Linked DNA regions of Drosophila melanogaster. The protein of the gene in region 1 interacts with the protein of each later gene in a pairwise test. Each region holds a gene or a part of one and is shown on either strand. Other genes may lie near its edges.

Evidence for each region.
Region 2: the proteins of Ahcy (region 1) and Tcs4 interact in a two-hybrid assay, tested with the Drosophila melanogaster proteins (one large-scale study listed by BioGRID).
Region 3: the proteins of Ahcy (region 1) and Mabi interact in a two-hybrid assay, tested with the Drosophila melanogaster proteins (one large-scale study listed by BioGRID).

Annotation. Positions count from the first base shown.
Region 1 is NC_004354.4:15,447,212-15,453,407, reverse strand, and holds Ahcy (adenosylhomocysteinase), read right to left. Parts: upstream 3,148-6,196; 5' UTR 3,018-3,147; coding exon 2,993-3,017; intron 2,742-2,992; coding exon 2,551-2,741; intron 2,014-2,550; coding exon 931-2,013; 3' UTR 241-930; downstream 1-240. Other genes in the region: scamp, read left to right, coding at 3,641-3,703, 3,900-4,127, 4,828-5,029, 5,384-5,513, 5,578-5,986. UniProt on the Drosophila melanogaster protein: Adenosylhomocysteine is a competitive inhibitor of S-adenosyl-L-methionine-dependent methyl transferase reactions; therefore adenosylhomocysteinase may play a key role in the control of methylations via regulation of the intracellular concentration of adenosylhomocysteine.
Region 2 is NC_004354.4:19,699,844-19,706,039, reverse strand, and holds the start of Tcs4 (Threonyl-carbamoyl synthesis 4), read left to right. Parts: upstream 1-4,284; 5' UTR 4,285-4,311; coding exon 4,312-4,496; intron 4,497-4,551; coding exon 4,552-5,596; 3' UTR 5,597-6,196. Other genes in the region: CG14230 (uncharacterized protein), read right to left, coding at 1-1,034, 1,101-1,390, 1,452-1,629; CG14232 (uncharacterized protein), read left to right, coding at 2,022-2,151, 2,210-2,637, 2,843-3,307, 3,367-3,786. UniProt on the Drosophila melanogaster protein: Required for the formation of a threonylcarbamoyl group on adenosine at position 37 (t(6)A37) in mitochondrial tRNAs that read codons beginning with adenine.
Region 3 is NT_033779.5:13,231,493-13,237,087, forward strand, and holds Mabi (mabiki), read right to left. Parts: upstream 3,169-5,595; 5' UTR 3,104-3,168; coding exon 2,483-3,103; 3' UTR 2,306-2,482; downstream 1-2,305. Other genes in the region: Prosalpha6T (proteasome alpha6 subunit, Testis-specific), read left to right, coding at 616-1,485; Jhbp14 (juvenile hormone binding protein 14), read left to right, coding at 5,143-5,248. UniProt on the Drosophila melanogaster protein: Plays a role in inducing apoptosis and is involved in the repair of head patterning defects in the embryo caused by extra maternal copies of the homeotic gene bicoid.

The DNA.
Region 1 (6,196 bases):
GGGAGGGAGCGGGATGGCGACGGCGACCAGCTGATAATTAACGGGCTCTGCGAGAGTCGGCCATCTCTTTCCTCGAATACCCTACGTTACAATTGGGATGATGGCGATAACGATAAGCACGAGATCATACAAGTGCATGGACGTAGGTCGAAATTTTAATGGGGATCAGAAAGAAAAATGGAATTTCAAAATAAATTAATCATTACAAATATTGTATTATTCAATTAACATAAAATATTTATTTAGTTCCCTCCGCTTAACAACATTGTTTATAAATAGTTGCAGATAAGGCTTAAAGCCATTTTCCGCATATAAAATCCATTCACGCATTATCACTTAGAATTTGCTTACATATTTGTGTTTTGGACCAAAACTTTTGGTAGATAATGAATTTTGACTTTCTTCCAGATGTTTCGTTTTGCCCTTGATCTTATTTATTTAAAGAAATCCTAATTTGTTGAGTCACTGTTTTTTTCAAGTTGTAATTCAACAATCAGATTGCTTTCACACATCGTATGTTTTTGATAGTCAACACGTGCTTCAAAATAAAAGGAGATGTTTTTGAGCGTCTTTACAAATAATGACAAAGCATTTTCACGATTTCGAAAACATTATTAGTATTATGAATATATGTATGAATATGAATATATGTAAGCTTAATAAATTGTATAAAACCCATAAACTTAATGCCGTACAAAAACTAATATTCTAAACCAATATGCTCCGCCATTTAGAGGGGAAAGAAAAAACATTGGAGCTATGTGGGGTTTTCTCTCGCTGAGAGTACGTGAGATGGGTTTTTATTGGAGCTGCTTAGGTGAACAGTGAAATGCGCAGACAATAGATAACTAGTGTGGGTCCGTCGTCTCCGGCGCCGCGTCCCGATTCGGTTATGGATTCGGGTGTGGAACCGGTTGGCGAATCGGGTGCTCAGTACCGGTAATGGTCGGGCTTGAAGGGACCGGTCTGCGAGACGCCCAAGTAGGTGGCCTGCTTCTCCGTCAGTTTGGTCAGCTTTACGCCCAGCTTCTCCAGATGAAGACTGGCCACCTCTTCGTCGAGGATCTTGGGCAGGACATGCACGCCGACGGCGTACTTGTCGGACTTGGTCCACAGCTCGATCTGGGCGAGCACCTGGTTGGTGAAGGAGTTGGACATCACGAAGCTGGGATGGCCGTGGGCACAGCCCAGGTTCACCAGACGACCCTCGGCCAGCAGGATGATGTGCTTGCCACTCTGCATTGTGTACCGATCTACTTGGGGCTTCACGTTCACCTTTTCTTTGGCATTGGCGTTTAGCCAGTCCACGTCGATCTCGATGTCGAAGTGGCCGATGTTGCACACGATGGCATCGTCGGGCATTTGTTGCAAGTGCACGCTGGTGATGATGTCCCGGCAGCCGGTGGTGGTCACAAAGATGGAAGCCTCCTTGCTGGCCTCCTCCATGGTGGTAACCTCATAGCCCTCCATCGCCGCCTGCAGGGCGTTGATGGGATCGACCTCGGTGACGATCACCCGACCACCGAATCCTTTCAGTGCCTGGGCACAGCCCTTGCCCACATCACCGTATCCGGCCACGCAGCAGACCTTTCCAGCGATCATGACGTCCGTGGCCCGCTTGATGCCATCGATCAGCGACTCGCGGCAGCCATACAGATTGTCAAACTTGCTCTTGGTCACCGAATCGTTGACATTGATGGCCGGTACGCCAAGACGACCCTCCTTGAACATCTTGTACAGGTTGTGGACACCGGTGGTCGTCTCCTCGCTGAGGCCCTTGATGTTTTTCAGATACTGGGGGAACTTTTCGTGCACCAGGTTGGTCAGATCGCCGCCATCGTCCAGGATCATGTTCAGGGGCTGGCCGTCGGGGAAGACCAAGGTCTGCTCGATGCACCACATGTACTCCTCATCGGTCTCACCCTTCCAGGCGTACACGGGCACGCCGGTGGCAGCGATGGCCGCGGCAGCATTATCCTGGGTGCTGAAGATGTTGCAGCTGGACCATTGGACCTGGATAAAAGAATGAAAATGTAGTTCATGCGTTGAAGTTGAGATGTGGATGGGAAGGAACCTAAATTATATAGATATTTGCAAACTGATTTGCATTGCATATAGGATTGATCTATATCAGGAAATCTATGTATTTCAGGACATCAGCATTTGGCAGAAAATAGTTGCCATGTGCGAGGATTGAAGCAGATGGTGCTGCGTCAGAGGAAATAACAATCTGGAGGTCTTATCTTGGGCGCCTTGAACTTGCCCCCCTGCTGTTAAACGAAAGTTTTGTTATTCAAATTGGTGCGTAAACCAAAGGTGATAAGGGACCAGCCCTTGGACAATGCTTGGAGATACCTATCTTTCTACCTAATTTACAATTTCCTTACGGAATTTTGGTCGGTTTTATGGTTTTTGAAATGGTTTTTAGTATTGAAATGATGCTATCTTTGTGTATTATCCCGACTGTTCAGACCTACAGTTGGGCATACAATTCGAATGGTGGTACGATGCATAAAATCATTTAGAGCGCCAAAGAGGCACTGAACCCACCTGAGCGCCCAGTTCGACGAGGGTCTCGATGAGCACGGCGGTCTGGACGGTCATGTGCAGGCAGCCGGTGATGCGGGCGCCCTTGAGGGGCTTAGATGGGCCGTACTTCTTCCTGCAGGCCATCAGACCGGGCATCTCGTTCTCCGCAATAATGATCGCCTTGCGTCCCCATTCCGCCAGACTGATATCGGCTGTCGAGTGGGATATAAAAGGGAGATAGGGTCAGATAAGCAGGCACTGTTGATTTATACACCATACGGTCTGAATTTCTACGTTTTTTGCCCCAGCAACAACGTGCTCTCCTCTGTTTTGTCTCTCTTTTAACCTCAGAAACATGTGCTCATGAATAGATGCAATTCACCCGCACATGTCGCCTGTTGCCGGCCGGAGATTCGATTCGAGAGTTTGCCATCCGTTTGGGTTTATTTATAACGCAACTCACCGACTTTGTAGCTGGGCTTCGACATTCTTGCAAGGATTGGATGTTTGACTTGGATGCGGAGCAGACAGAATCGCACACAACCGAATTGGAGACGCGGGCAGCGGTAAATGAATCGAATCGCAACCCAAGACACTAGAATTCCAATTGCGGAATGGCGGCCCCAGGGATGGGAACTGGTTCCACGCAGCTGGTTCAGCTGGAGCAGTTCCGATTGGCACGATTGTTGCCATTTAAATTTAAAATTCATATGATAACTGCTGGTTTACATCCAATTGTATATAGAATCTTTTCTTTTTGCTATCATTTTAATAAAATGTATTAATAGGTCCTAAAAAATCAGACCATTGTATACCAGTTATTCACATTTTTCAGAATTCTAGATTAATGTTAAATGTGTTAAATAATAAGTTTTTCTGCCAAAATGAATTTAATATGTAATTCAAATAACATTAATTCTTTAAAGTAATTCTTTCGATATTTGAGGCCTACACTTTGATTCCCAACGAAAGCTTATCGATGCTGAACCATCACTAAAACCGACATCGATAACTGAGCAGAGTCTTAGGGAAAATATACACAGCGAAAAGCAAAGTGCGAGTCAGTGCGTTTTTCTGGTCATTGAACAGCCGTATCCAAAGTAGAATTCCCATGTCCGGCTCCGGTCTCGACGAGAATCCCTTCGGGGAGCCCAATCTGGACAATCCGTTTGCGGTGAGGCGATAGAAGAGCTAGGAGAGAGAGCGCGGAAGCCGAAGAAAAAACCCATCGCACACACACGCACACGTACGCAAAGGTGGGGTGTTGGTGTGCGTGCCTGTGAGTGTAGTGTGTGTGTGTGTTGGGTGCATTCGTCACATATGTTGAATGAATTGGTTTCTGATTGGGATTTCCCGGTTTTCCCCCGCAGGACCCCGCCATCCAGCAGGCACGACGACTCCAGAGCGGCGCCGCCCTTGTCTCTCTTGAGGATTACAATCCATTCGAGGAGCAGGCCAAGCCGCAGCTGCAGATCAACTCAACGAACACGGCGGCGGTGGTCCAGCCGCTATCGCAGAACATTCCGCCCCCGCAGACCAGTTCCCTGGGCGCCTCGGCGCCTAGCACCAGCATACAGATCACCTCGGAGGAGCTGCAGGTAACCCACTTGGCCGGTCGTCTCGCGTTACCGCCCACACAACAGTGAGCACTCTGCGGTGTGCTGTGCCGGCATGGCCACATCCGCAATACTCCAAAAACCGCATATGTACATCCAAATACTCGGAAACAATCGAAATGGACCACACCACACAGTTACACTAAAAGTTTGCCCTAAAAGTCTGTACAGTAATCACTTTGCTAGAGTGCCGGGATTAGGGCAGGCATATCACATTTTACTCTCCATCAAGAGTCAGAAAGATAAGCGGGCTTATCTCGATCTGCCAACGATATATCCGCTTTGGAGCATTTATCTGGTTGAGACTAGAAGCGGCTGCCGCGCCGAGTCTTCACTGTGCAAACTGCGGTTTCTCTTGATTTACTTGGCTTCTTCGGCCCTACACAATAATTCAAGAAATACTAGTTAGTAGATCTAAATACATATGATTTGGAGGCTTAAGTTTGCACTTTATTCTTGTACAGAATATTTCCTATAGATAGGCCAAATGCCTGAGGTTAAGATAGAAGTTTAACAAACTCAAGATTTGGATGTGAATTCCTATCATTGAATTTCGCCTTTGTTTTCCCAAATATGTAAATGAATAAGATTTAAAGTATTTACCATATACGGCCAATTTATTAAGTCATACAAAATGTATATATAAAACAGTCGATAATCATATGATTTTCATTGTATCCAGCGCCGGCAGGAGGAGTTGGACCGCAAGGCCGCCGAACTGGACCGCCGCGAGCAGCAGCTACAGGGCAATGTGCCGCAGCTGAACAACTGGCCACCGCTGCCGGATAACTTTTGTGTAAAGCCGTGCTTCTACCAGGACTTCGAGGTGGAGATACCGCCCGAGTTCCAGAAACTGGTCAAGCGATTGTATTACATTTGGATTTGTGAGTATTGGTTCTTTATGGCTGTGTTTTCTACATGTTTTCGCTGATAAGCGGTGCCATAGGTTGTGGAATTAGTCATCGCGTGTCGTCTACAGGCCGATGCCATTATTAATCAGATATAGCTGAATGGCTAATGGTCTTGGATGTGTGCGTGCCTTTGTGCAGAATATGCTTGCAAAGAGGGGAGCATGAAATTTGTTTGATTTACATGTTATCAGTATTAAGATAGTTTTTAAATGCATTTCTAGCATTATTTACTGCATGCATAGTATATAGTATATAATAATGCTTTCCCCTACAGATTATAGCATTATGCTGATTGTATGTGTCTATTTTGAATACTTTCTCCGACAGTTTACACCATGACGTTGTTGGCCAACGTGATAGGCGGTCTAATTTTGCTGTTCCACGCTGGCGAATTCGAGACCTTCTTCCTGGCCATCTTCTACACGATGCTCTTCTCGCCCGCCTCCTATGTCTGCTGGTGAGTTTATACCTGGAAGATTCTTAAAACATGAATAATGTGATGATGTGTGATTAATTTTCAGGTTCCGACCGGCGTACAAGGCATTCCGCAACGATTCGAGCTTCAACTTCATGGTCTTCTTCTTCATCTACTTCTTTCAAACGCTGTACTCGATTGTGCAGGCGGTGGGCTTCAACAAGATGGGCTACTGTGGCTTTATTACGGCCATCGGGCAGTTCGATGGGCAAGCGTCGGGTATTATCGTCGGCATTCTGCTGTTGAACGTGGCATTCTGTTTCACAGCGGTGGCCGTGGCCAATGTGCTGATGATCACAAAGATTCACTCGATCTACCGCAGCACAGGGGCCAGTATGGCCAAGGCCCAGGCGGAGTTCACCACCGAGTTTCTGCGCAACCAGCACGTCCAGGAAGCAGCCTCCTCGGCCGTTAATACGGCCATCAATTCGCAGTTTAACAACAGCAGGTACTAAGTGACACTCTGCTTTCCGGGGATCTAATCAAATCAAAAGGAGAATCAATCAATCAACCACGAACTCAAGCAGCACTCATCCTGCTTAACTGGGACAGAAAAAGATGATGATAGCCGCGCCAGAGAGAGGGAGATGGAGAAAGAACACTTAATAAACATTGAAATAGCTTAACACGAAATGAAAGTAAAGAAAAACATGAAACTAAAGCTA
Region 2 (6,196 bases), 4.3 Mb from region 1:
TTCGCTGGCTGGGCCTTGTTCTCCTTGCTGACCTCAAGCTCCTGCTCCTGCTCCTGCTCTTGCTTCGGCTTTACTTCGGTTTCGTCTTCGCTGTCGGACGAGTCGTAGGAGAACGGATTGAGAGTGGCCAGTCCGAGCTTATTGGCAGACGTCTTGCCCACCAGGATCTTCTCATGGCCCAGCTTCTCCAACTGGTCCTGGCGCTTGGCCACCTCCTTCTCCGGTGCACTGCCGAACATGTCCAGCAGGCTGAAACCCTCTCCACGCGTGTTCAGCGAATCCCTCAACGTGTCGGTGACAATGTAAAAGGCCGTCTTCGAGACGGCTGAAGCTTGACTGTTGCCCGCGTCGGCGGTCTTGGCTTTCGTACTGGAAGTCTCCTCCTTCTTCTCCTCCTCCTCCTTGGGCTGCTTTTGGCGCATTAGCTTCTGATGGCCCTCCTTGGCCGGATCGAAGCGCAGCATCTTTTTGTTCTTTGGCGACTTACCGTCCTTATCGTTCGCACTGGTGATCGCGTGTCCCACAACCTGCTCCAGAATGTTCATGTGCCATTTGCGCTCACTCTCCTCCGGCTCAGGCTGATCCTCCAGCTCCGCCTCTTCCTCCTCGTTCACAAAGTTCGATGTGATGCGGAAGCGGGGATCTATACTCTGTTTGCTCTGCATCTCCACCAGACGCTCGCCCTTCTTGCCCTTATGCTGCGGCAGGACGATCTGCTCCTCTTCCTCATCGTCGTCGTTCTCGAACAGATCCCGCTTTTGTATCTTGGCTTTCTGGACGGGCTTGGACGCCTCCTCCTCCTCGGCGTCGCTGAATTTTATTCTCTTTGCCTGACTGCCTTCGACTGATATCACAGATAGCGCCTGCTGGATGGCTGACTTCTTTTGTTGGTGTCCCTGACGCATCTTGTTGAGCGACTCCTTGCGCTTCTGTTCCGCCTGGCTGACATTGGCGTCCGGCTTCTGTTTGGCTGCCTTGCGGTGCTGTTCGATGACATGGAGTGGCTTCACGTCGTGCTCCTGCTGGATGACAATCTGTGGGAAAGGAAAGGAAAGGAATTTAGCTGACAATGAGCTTGGGAACAATGAGTGCGTGCATACCCGGCCATTGTGCATGGAATTGGCGGCGCGCTTCTTGGTAATCAGCAGCTCTGGAGCGACCTCATCATCACCAATCTCCTCATCCTCTCCGAATACCCTGCGCTTGTTTTGGCCACTTTGCACCAGGAGCTGAGAGCTCGGCGCACGCACCTCGGACTCGTCTGGCTCGCCCTGTTCCCGGCGCTGGTTCTCTTCGCGTTCGCGCTTCAGTCGATCCAAAAACGATTCTTTGGCAAGAGAAACTCTTAGCTTTTCGCCGTGCAACTTCTGCCATTTGAGCTCGTTGACGCCTACAAAACCAAGCTATGGTTACTCCTTCCGTCTGGCTGTGATCTTCCGCGGATAACTTACAGTACTGGGCATCATCCGTCTGCACGGTGACGAAGGCAATCACCTTAGTGGCCCCATCCTGCTCCTTGCGCTTCAGATCCACGTGCTCTACGTGACCGTAGTCCTGGAACAGGATCTGCAGGTCCGACTCCGAGGTCCTGGTCGGCAGATCCGCCAGGAAGAACCGAGTGCTGCCCATATTATGTTTACGCTTGCAATGCACGTGTAGAATCCAAATCCCGGCAAGAATTGCTGTGGGCCAGTGTGACCGCGGGCAGATAAAAACTTACACTTAAATATAGCCACAATTCCAATTCCCAATTGCTTTATACAGGTTTTTAACAAGTCCAAGCAACACTAAACCAGCTTTCAAATTTATTTAGCAACTTTGTAAATAGGCAAATACATTAAGTTAGACAAAAATAATCCCCATCGGTCAGTGTTGCAAGGCGAGCAATACAATTACTTTAGGTGCGCAGCTGGCTGGTCACACTGGCAGCAGACGTCACAATAAATTCTATTATTTTGTTTTGTTTTGTGCGAAAAGTTTGCAGGCCAGCAATCGTGGACTAGCCCACAAACAACGGCAGCATGGCGAGCGGGACAAGCGGCACAAGCAGCAGTGAAACGGCCCAGTCGACGGACATGGCACCATCATCGGCCGAGAAGTGGGGCTTCCCTTTGATTGAGCTCTACCGCCTGGCATTCACGTTCTACAAGCGTAAGAGCAGAGATCCCGGCACTAGCGCACCAATAACGGCTAATCTCACATATTGCAGGGAACTCCGGCAAGGCCATCCACTTGTCGTACGAGGACAACCTCAAGCTGATCGCCTTCAAGCAGCAGGCGGCGCTGGGCCCCTTCAACACGAGTCGCGCCCCGGCGCTGGGCGTCCTGGACGTGATCGGACGCGACCGGCAGCAGCACTGGCAGCTGCTCGGTGAGATAACGCGCGAGCAGGCGATGGAGGGGTTCGTCGACCTGCTGGACACAATGTGCAGCGCCTTTCGGCCGTACATTGAGGCCGTGCGGCAGGACCGCGACGAGACGCTGCGCAAGGAGCTGCGCCTCATGGAGGAGAAGAAGGAGGCACGCGAGCGGCAGGAGAACGCCCAGCAGGAGCTGCTCGAGGAGGGTTACAAGGAGGAGCTGCAGCGCCGCCAGCTGCAGGACGCACTCAACAAGCAGACTTACCAGCAGTTTAAGGTAGCCCATCGATTTTTTCAACAACACACCGGCCCGGCCCTCTGCACCTGTTGTTGTGCTAAATAATGCATGATAATTACTGGGTGCTCGGCCTTGGCTGCGCTGTCTGCCATTGAAAAGGGGTCATGACCCAGTTCTCAGGCAATTGCATGCCAGCTCCTGTACCATTAACTTGGCCCTTCTAACGCTTACACTCGTTCCACAGCTGTACGCTGAGAAGCAGTTCCCCGGAAACCCCGAACAGCAGGCCGTGCTTATCCACCAGCTGCAGCGGGAGCACTATCACCAGTACATGCAACAGCTTCATCTGCAGAACCAGAACCAGAATCAGAATCAGAACACGGAGGACAAGGGACACCAGGAAGCAGAACACGTCCCTGGCAATAACAACAACAGCTCAACCGACTTGCCCAACGCCATGGAGGGACTGAAGCTCGGTGAGGTCGAGACACAGCAGCACCAGCAGCTGGCCGAGCAGCAAGACGGGCATGTAGAGCAGACGTTGGAGGGCGTTGGGCAGGAACAGCACGGCGAGGAAGAGTACGACGACTACGTTATGATCTGCCCGGCCAAGATCTGGACTCGTCCCGACATCGAGCAGTTTAAGACTGAGGTGTCCGCCGGCGATGGGGACGGCGTCATCACCATTGGACACGGCGACACGGTGACGGTAGGTGGCAATCAACTAATGACGAAACAAGGCCCATATTGACCGGCACAATTTTGCAGGTCCGTGTGCCCACCAACATGAACGGCAAGTGCATCTTCTGGGAGTTCGCCACGGACAGCTACGACATCGGCTTCGGCATCTACTTCGAGTGGGCCAAGCCCGTGACCAACGAGGTGACCGTGCATGTGAGCGACTCCGACGAGGACGAGGATTGCGTGGACGAGGACTACCTATCCACCACCGAGGACCTGGAGTCCGGCTCGCTGTCGCAGGAGCGCGGCGCAGTTAACAACCCGACTGCTGCCCCCAAGGCACCCATTTCCATTATCGTACCGATCTATCGACGGGAGTGCTACAACGAGGTCTACGTGGGCTCCCACTCCTATCCGGGCGAGGGCGTCTATTTGCTGAAGTTCGACAACAGCTACAGCATCTGGCGCAATAAGACGCTGTACTACCGCGTCTACTACGAGCGTTAAGAGGCCAAAATGTATTTACTTACCACTAACTTAGATGAATCCTATCTCCGTACGAACGGCTAATGTGCAAGTCCGGAATAATCTGTATGTGCGTGTGCGTGAGGTTTTGGTTTTACGTGTGCGTTGCTGCAATTCCGGGAAACAAGCGGCGGGAAAAGACCATGCCGATTTCAGACTAAACCAATATTATTTATTATTTAGTTGTAACCGACGAAGACAAGTCCAAAATTCAATTTGAAACTAATAAACAATATAAAGACAACTGTAAATAATCACTTTTCGAAATCTCTTTGCTTCTTAATGAAGAATAAATTATTCGTAAAATTCACTTAGGAAACTTCTTCATACGACACAATTGCTATTACCAATTTTGGGCATTGAAACAACTATTATTATTATTTTATATTAAATAAAAATTGCATTAAAGTATAGTTAAGAATTTGGCTCGTGTAAGGGGCCCTAACACTAACGGTCCCACGATTTGCTGGTTGTGGTTTCTATCGGTGCCTGGTCACACTGGCCATTATGCATGCACTTCGTAATTTTGCCGGCAATGGAATAGCAAATGTATTTGGCTGTGGGATCAGGCGCCGGCTCAGCTATGTCCTGGGCATCGAGACCTCCTGCGACGACACGGGCATCGCCATCGTGGACACCACGGGCCGAGTGATTGCCAATGTGCTGGAGTCGCAACAGGAGTTCCACACCCGGTGAGTGCTCACATCTCCGCATGCGGTGCCCAATGATGAACTGAATCGATTGCAGCTATGGAGGCATTATTCCGCCCAGGGCCCAGGACCTTCACCGCGCCCGCATCGAGTCCGCCTACCAGCGCTGCATGGAGGCGGCGCAATTGAAGCCGGACCAACTGACGGCCATCGCGGTGACCACGCGTCCCGGACTGCCGCTGAGTTTGCTGGTGGGCGTGCGCTTTGCACGGCACCTGGCCCGTCGCCTGCAGAAGCCCCTGCTGCCCGTTCACCACATGGAGGCGCACGCGCTGCAGGCCCGCATGGAACATCCGGAGCAGATCGGCTACCCCTTCCTCTGCTTGCTGGCCAGCGGCGGCCACTGTCAGTTGGTGGTGGCTAACGGCCCCGGTCGCCTTACGCTTCTTGGCCAAACACTGGATGATGCGCCCGGCGAGGCCTTTGACAAGATCGGTCGGCGACTACGCCTGCACATTCTGCCGGAGTACCGCTTGTGGAACGGAGGACGGGCCATTGAGCATGCCGCCCAGCTGGCCAGCGATCCGCTGGCCTACGAGTTTCCGCTGCCACTTGCCCAGCAGCGGAACTGCAACTTCAGCTTCGCCGGCATCAAGAACAACTCCTTCCGGGCCATCCGAGCGCGCGAGCGGGCAGAGCGGACACCTCCGGACGGAGTCATCAGCAACTACGGCGACTTCTGCGCCGGCCTGCTGCGCTCTGTCAGCCGGCACCTGATGCACCGCACGCAGCGGGCAATTGAGTACTGCCTCCTGCCGCACAGGCAGCTCTTCGGTGACACCCCGCCCACACTGGTCATGTCCGGCGGTGTGGCCAACAACGATGCCATATACGCCAACATCGAACATCTGGCCGCGCAGTATGGCTGCAGGAGCTTCCGTCCATCGAAGCGGTACTGCTCCGACAACGGCGTCATGATCGCCTGGCACGGCGTTGAGCAACTGCTGCAGGATAAAGAGGCCAGCACGCGCTACGACTACGACAGCATTGATATCCAGGGCAGCGCGGGATTCGCCGAGTCGCACGAGGAAGCTGTCGCTGCGGCGGCCATAAAATGCAAGTGGATACAGCCACTGGTTTGATCACTAGCCCCTGTTGTGTTTTATACATTCTTACATAAAGTTACAGATGAATCCTTGTTCGTTGTTGAATCCTGTTTGTCTGATTTACAAATTAATAATATATTCATAATATTTTTGAGTGTGTGAGTTCTTTGGCGCTGCAGAGTTCCTACTTGCTAAGAGCCACCTTGCTAGCTCTGGTGGCTTCCGAGATCTCGACGTTTATGCTGACGAACAATAGGACATGGCCAGATAATCAAAATATAGTTTATAGTAATGGAAAAGCTTTGCCTCCACCTGTTGGCCACTTTTCCAGGAACGTAATAACTGATATGACGACAGGTCTTTATCACGCGAATCGATATAGAAATAAACAACCACAAATGAATCACAAATGCTATATAAAAATCACAATTGCATTGAATTTATGTAATTTTATACATATAAAAAGTACATTTTCGCTTGTGCATCTTTGGTGGGATGTTCCCTTTTTTTTTTTCATTTCAGGCAAGACAGTGAGTGGTTTCGTTTTGGATTTCGTTTTATTATAAGATATTATCTGAAATCAATAATGTTAAATCACTAAGGTCTAGAAAAAAAATGTAAAAATTGATAATGTGT
Region 3 (5,595 bases), on another chromosome or scaffold:
AGTGGTTTACTGGGTTGTTGGAGTTGCGACGGAAATTTGCGCCATAGGAAGTCGGACTGCCACAAGTACTATCAATGAAAATTAAAAGTAATTAACTGCTCGCGCACAGCGATTGCGCAATCGCCAAAAGAGTTAATTATGTTATGTGCAGGGGGCTTCCCCGGCAGCATGAATACTTCGACTAAATCATAGCTCCTATTTTTCACTCACAGCCCGATGCAGTTGGCTGCATATGAGGCGGGTGCACTCAGTGACGAACATCAGCCTATGTTTTTTCCATCGGATCACCCGAACTTCCTCATAGACCGTTGATTTTCTACATGGTTAGGCATTATGCAAGTTAGCTGGAGTGAAAGCAAAGTTAGGATTGCAATTGGCTTTTCTCTTGGTATGCATCGAAACCCTTTCTTTGTGACCTCATTCTATGAAATTAGTTAGAATTGGCCATTACAAATTGATTAATTAACAATTACACGAGTAAATATTTTAAGAAATTCTATGAATAAGCAAACCCTTGAAATTAATATCAGTTTTCAATTACTTTCAACTCAAGCTAGACAAATTTGCAACTAACAAGCTAACGTTATTTCGCTGAATTCATTCACACTTTTGGCCATGTTCCGGAATCAGTATGACAACGACACAACCACTTGGAGTCCGCAGGGTCGTCTCTTCCAGGTGGAGTACGCAATGGAGGCGGTGAAACAGGGAGCAGCCACCGTGGGACTCAAGGGCACCGACTATGCCGTGCTGGCCGCCCTGTGCCGCACCTCAAAGGACACGAACACGCTCCAGCGGAAGATCATGCCGGTGGATGACCACGTGGGTATGTCTATCGCAGGACTAACGGCAGATGCCCGCGTGGTGTGCCAGTACATGAGGACGGAGTGCATGGCATATCGGCACTCCTATAACGCAGAATTTCCGGTTCGCCGTTTGGTTTCCAATCTGGGTAACAAGCTGCAGACCACCACCCAGCGCTATGATCGTCGTCCCTACGGTGTGGGCTTGCTGGTGGCTGGATACGATGAGCAGGGACCACATATCTACCAGGTGATGCCCACGGCCAATGTGCTCAACTGCAAGGCAATGGCCATTGGATCTCGTTCGCAGAGTGCTCGCACATATCTGGAGCGAAATATGGAGAGTTTCGAGGACTGCGACATGGATGAACTGATATGTCATGCCATTCAGGCCATTCGAGGATCGTTGGGTTCCGATGATGTCGAGAATCTCACCATAAATGTGGCCATTGTGGGCAAGGATGTGCCGTTTAAAATGTTTACGGAAGCCGAGAACCAGAAGTATGTGAAATTGGTCAAGGCTATGGATCCACCTCTGGAGGCGGACCACGATCCTCTATCCGAGGAGGGAATGAGCGATGATGACATGACGGACCACGGACCGAGTAGCAGTGGAGTTCCACCCAATGATACATCTGACATGGAAACCACTGCATCCACCGGCGGCAGTGACGCACATTGATCTAATCTGTGATTAGAAACCCTGACAGAGTATACTAAATTTATTGTTTCGTTAATAATGTTATTAAAGTTTATAGTTATTATGTTGTATGGCTGCTTCGTTTTTGTCAAAGAAAAAAACAAGAAACGGTTAGCAAGGAAATTGAATTCTGAATTAGTTTTAATAGCATGTATAGCATATATATTCATCTTATGGAACCTAATCGGATTAAAATAATGGAAACACTATAGCACTTGCCATTCCTATTAATACGTTGAAATTTTCCACAGGGATTAGGGGTTATGCAAATGAAAGCCTTTAGCGTGACCAATTCGATTACAATGTATTTGAAAATATCGTAGCTACTAATAGCTAAAGTGTTTAGTTTAACTTTAAGTGCGACAATGACAGCTGAGCGATGGACGGGAATAGGAGTAGTTATTATTTAAGCCCACATTCCCGTAGCTGCGGTTTCAATCGGTTTACGGCTCTATTGCCAGTGGTTTGACCAGGGTGCAGGGTTAATACCCAGTGAACTTTATCCGACTGGCTTGATATTCTCCATGGGGGGAGGCAATAGTCGATGGGGTCACCAATAACGATTTGCTCCAGGGGCTGATGATTGCCTGTGACACCACGCGAACTACCCCTGGGGATTAATTGGGATTTATTTCGATGGCTCCACGCTTTATTATATTTTATTAAATTTATTTATATATATTTTTAATATATTCATTGCTTCATTAGCGCTTGATTACTTTTTCTGCCAATGTCATAAATTAATATTTATACCATTTTTAGAAGGAAGATTAAAAGTCAAGCACACGATAAAAAATCAATTAGCCGTAAAAATTAAATCCTCATATTTTATTTATTAAGAAGTTCCTGCTTAACCTTTTAAGGCATTTATACTAAATATATACTAAATTTCTTAGCACTAAAAGTTCTTGAAGAAACTTAACAACTTAGCATTAATATAATAACTATATAATACAATCCTAAAAGGAGATGGACGTATCTAAGCATGCTCCTGTTTAATACCACCTATCAGGTAGTCGATGCTAAAGTTACTCTTGGTATTCTCCTCCGGAACTCTCCTTGAGGATACTAGCGGGTGGTCTTCCTGCTTGACCAGCTGCTTCAGATGATTCAAATAGACCCTGGCACGCAGACTCTGTTCGGCGATCTTGAGGTGCTCATCGGAGCACTCCTTGTACTGCTGTTCGATCTGCAGGTCATCGAACTTCTTCTTCCGTCGACTCATCCTGCAGGCAATTGTGTTCTTGTTGCGGCGCTCCTGATCCTTCGGTGAACGCTCCTTCTTCGGGAATTTTCGCACCATATTGACGTGGTACTTGAAGATGTCTTGGATGGCCTCGGTTATGATGGGGCTGGCGGATTGGTAGGAAACGCTTGAGGATGAGGATCCCAAACGACGACGCTTTGGCAGTGGAGGAAAGTCAGCATCCTGATCACTGAAACCCAAGCTGACGGACTGATTTGCCGCATCGAAAGGACTCCGACTGGTGCAGGGTGTGCCGCTCCGGGAGATTAGCTCTTCCTTCAGCTGCAAATCGCATTTCTCAATCTTTCGACCCATGTCGAACTTTTTGTGGCGATAGATCTGATGGTGCTCCATTGTATGGTATGATATGCTATGGTTATGCTATGTGTGTTCTACTCGAAGACTCTCGATTGAATGCTGTCCTGTGGATTGGTACACTAGCTTATATGGCGAAAGCCTTATCTGCCGCTCTTCGTAATCCCCCCACAACTTTTATAACTTTGTTTACACAAATCGACGACGAATTTTCTTTTTGCAAAACGAAAACAAGATCATAAACCCGCTCGATTTGCCTGCGCACGCGTACATGCCACCCAATCCCATACCCAAACCCAAACCCAAAACCCAACCCATCCCACTTACCTACTTGTAAGCCCACCCGTTGGGCATCCCTATCTACTGGTCATGTTTATTCTTGCGTGCGTTCAGCTGGGATCTTTTGAATTTCAGATACAATACAATCCGAGTTTTTCCGGATCAGTAGGTGGCGAAATGCGCGCCCATCGATTGTCTGGGTTCATTCAATTCGTGTTTGTTCCTCTTTCAAATCTATTATCTGCTGTGTTTTTCAATGTCGCCGCCTTTTGTAAAAGTCATATATATATATACATATATGGATTTTGGGCTACTCTTGTTCAATTGGCCTCTATTCGAAAAGTGTTTTGCGGCCTCATTTGTCCAACTCCCTTTGTATCCTGCTGTTGATAAGGTGTGTGTGGCACTGATCTTTTGTTTTCCGTTTGTTTCCCTTTTTTTAGATATCACTTCTTGGAACTCGGAGTGCCATTTCTGGGTTTGCAGTTTAATGCCGAAGATGACGATAAGATGACGTCTATTTGGGGTTGCAAAAGGGCACATTCCTGTAGACAGTCTGCGTCTGCTGATAACGTGCGTTTATCTCTTTTGTGCCAGGTCACTTGATAAATCGTTGTAAACTCAGCGCATCTTAAAACGATCCTAAAAAAAAAAGTATTCGAAAATTGGCCTGCGTAAAATAACCTACTTATTTGTTTGTTAAGAACTGAGGTTTTCCGAATTAGTATAAAGATTTGTTGTACGCGTATGACTCATTTCCAACCTTTTAAGCTTTGACAAAATCGACGTACGTTGCCTACTAGACACACGTGACTAAATAATCACTAATCAAGCACTTTAAAAATTGCCGTAAGGTGCAAAAAGCAGAATTAGCATTAGAGCTGTTAGCACGGCCACGCTTGACACCAATTGTTTGATTTATACTTTCATTACTACTTACTAGTAGAAACAGAAATAGGCAGTAAAAGGTTCTGCCTTTTCATTTTGAGGGTATACACAGATGTATATTTTACTAGGCCACAAAATTGCAGTAAGTTAAATAAAGCCTCAGTTAAATGCATTAGCATTAGCATGGAAGTACAGGAAGAATAGTTTCAAGCTCTAAAAATTGAAACAGTGATCTTAAGCCCAAGTCCCCGAGACATTTAATAAGGTGGTACGTTTTAATTAGCCGCCTGGGACCAAGATCTCCAGCACCATCTCCATCACCAAGTCGAGGAAGCATCCAAAGCGAGTCGGATCACTTGGGACAGCTGCCGGTAGTTGGTAGGCGGTTATGTGATGAGTATGTCGGGTCGCACTGGGGTCGCGATAAGTCAAATCGGATGGCTGGGTGGCTTCCACTTCACGACTTTACGGGGGAATTTAATAATGTCGTTTGTATTTCGCTACTGTCTACTGTCTACTGTCTATTGACTTTTGCATTTGCTTTGTTTTCTACAGCTGCGACGGCGATTAGTTTCAAGCTATTTTTGTTATCCACCCACCACCCACCGCCCACCGCTCCGCCCACAAATCCCTATTATTTGCTAATGCCGAGCATCTGTGTTTGTGCCTTTTTTTATTTTTTTTATTTTACGTTTGTCTTTGCAATTTCGATTTGATTGGATTTGTTTTGTTTTCTTCCCATAAATAAGAGCCCGCCACCCATCGCAGCTCTCAGACGTTGATTCGCATTTGCATCGGTCAGGTTGGGCTATCCAACGGATGTGGAATAACTTCACCTAACGAGGAAGTCAATTAAAAAAAACATCATTCAATCTAAACGTATCAAATTAAATATTAAACAATCTATCGAAATGGGTCGTATCTTTGGCGTAGTTGCTCTAATTCTGATGGCCGGCTTATGTTTGGCAGCGGAAATAGAATTGCCACCAGTTGAGTTCAAGCCGGTTCGAGAAATACGTGAGTGTCATTATACATATGTGAAAAATCAAACCCTATATTAAAATTAAGAAATAAGAACAACAGAAACAATTCTTGGGAAGTGCAAACTTAGTGCATTTAAACAAAATAAATGTTAAAGCAAAATAGAATATTAATACATTTATTCTAAAATCTTATTTTAAAAATACAATTTCTTTGGATACTGCAAAAATTGCGGAGATTGGCTTTGTCGTTTTTAATATTAATTTGATACGGCCATTTAAAATTAAAAGGTAATCTCTAAATTTCTATAAAAAATTTATAATTTCAAGCGTTGTTTCAAACAATTTTAAAAAGTACAAATTGTTAATGCGACACTTTAGTAT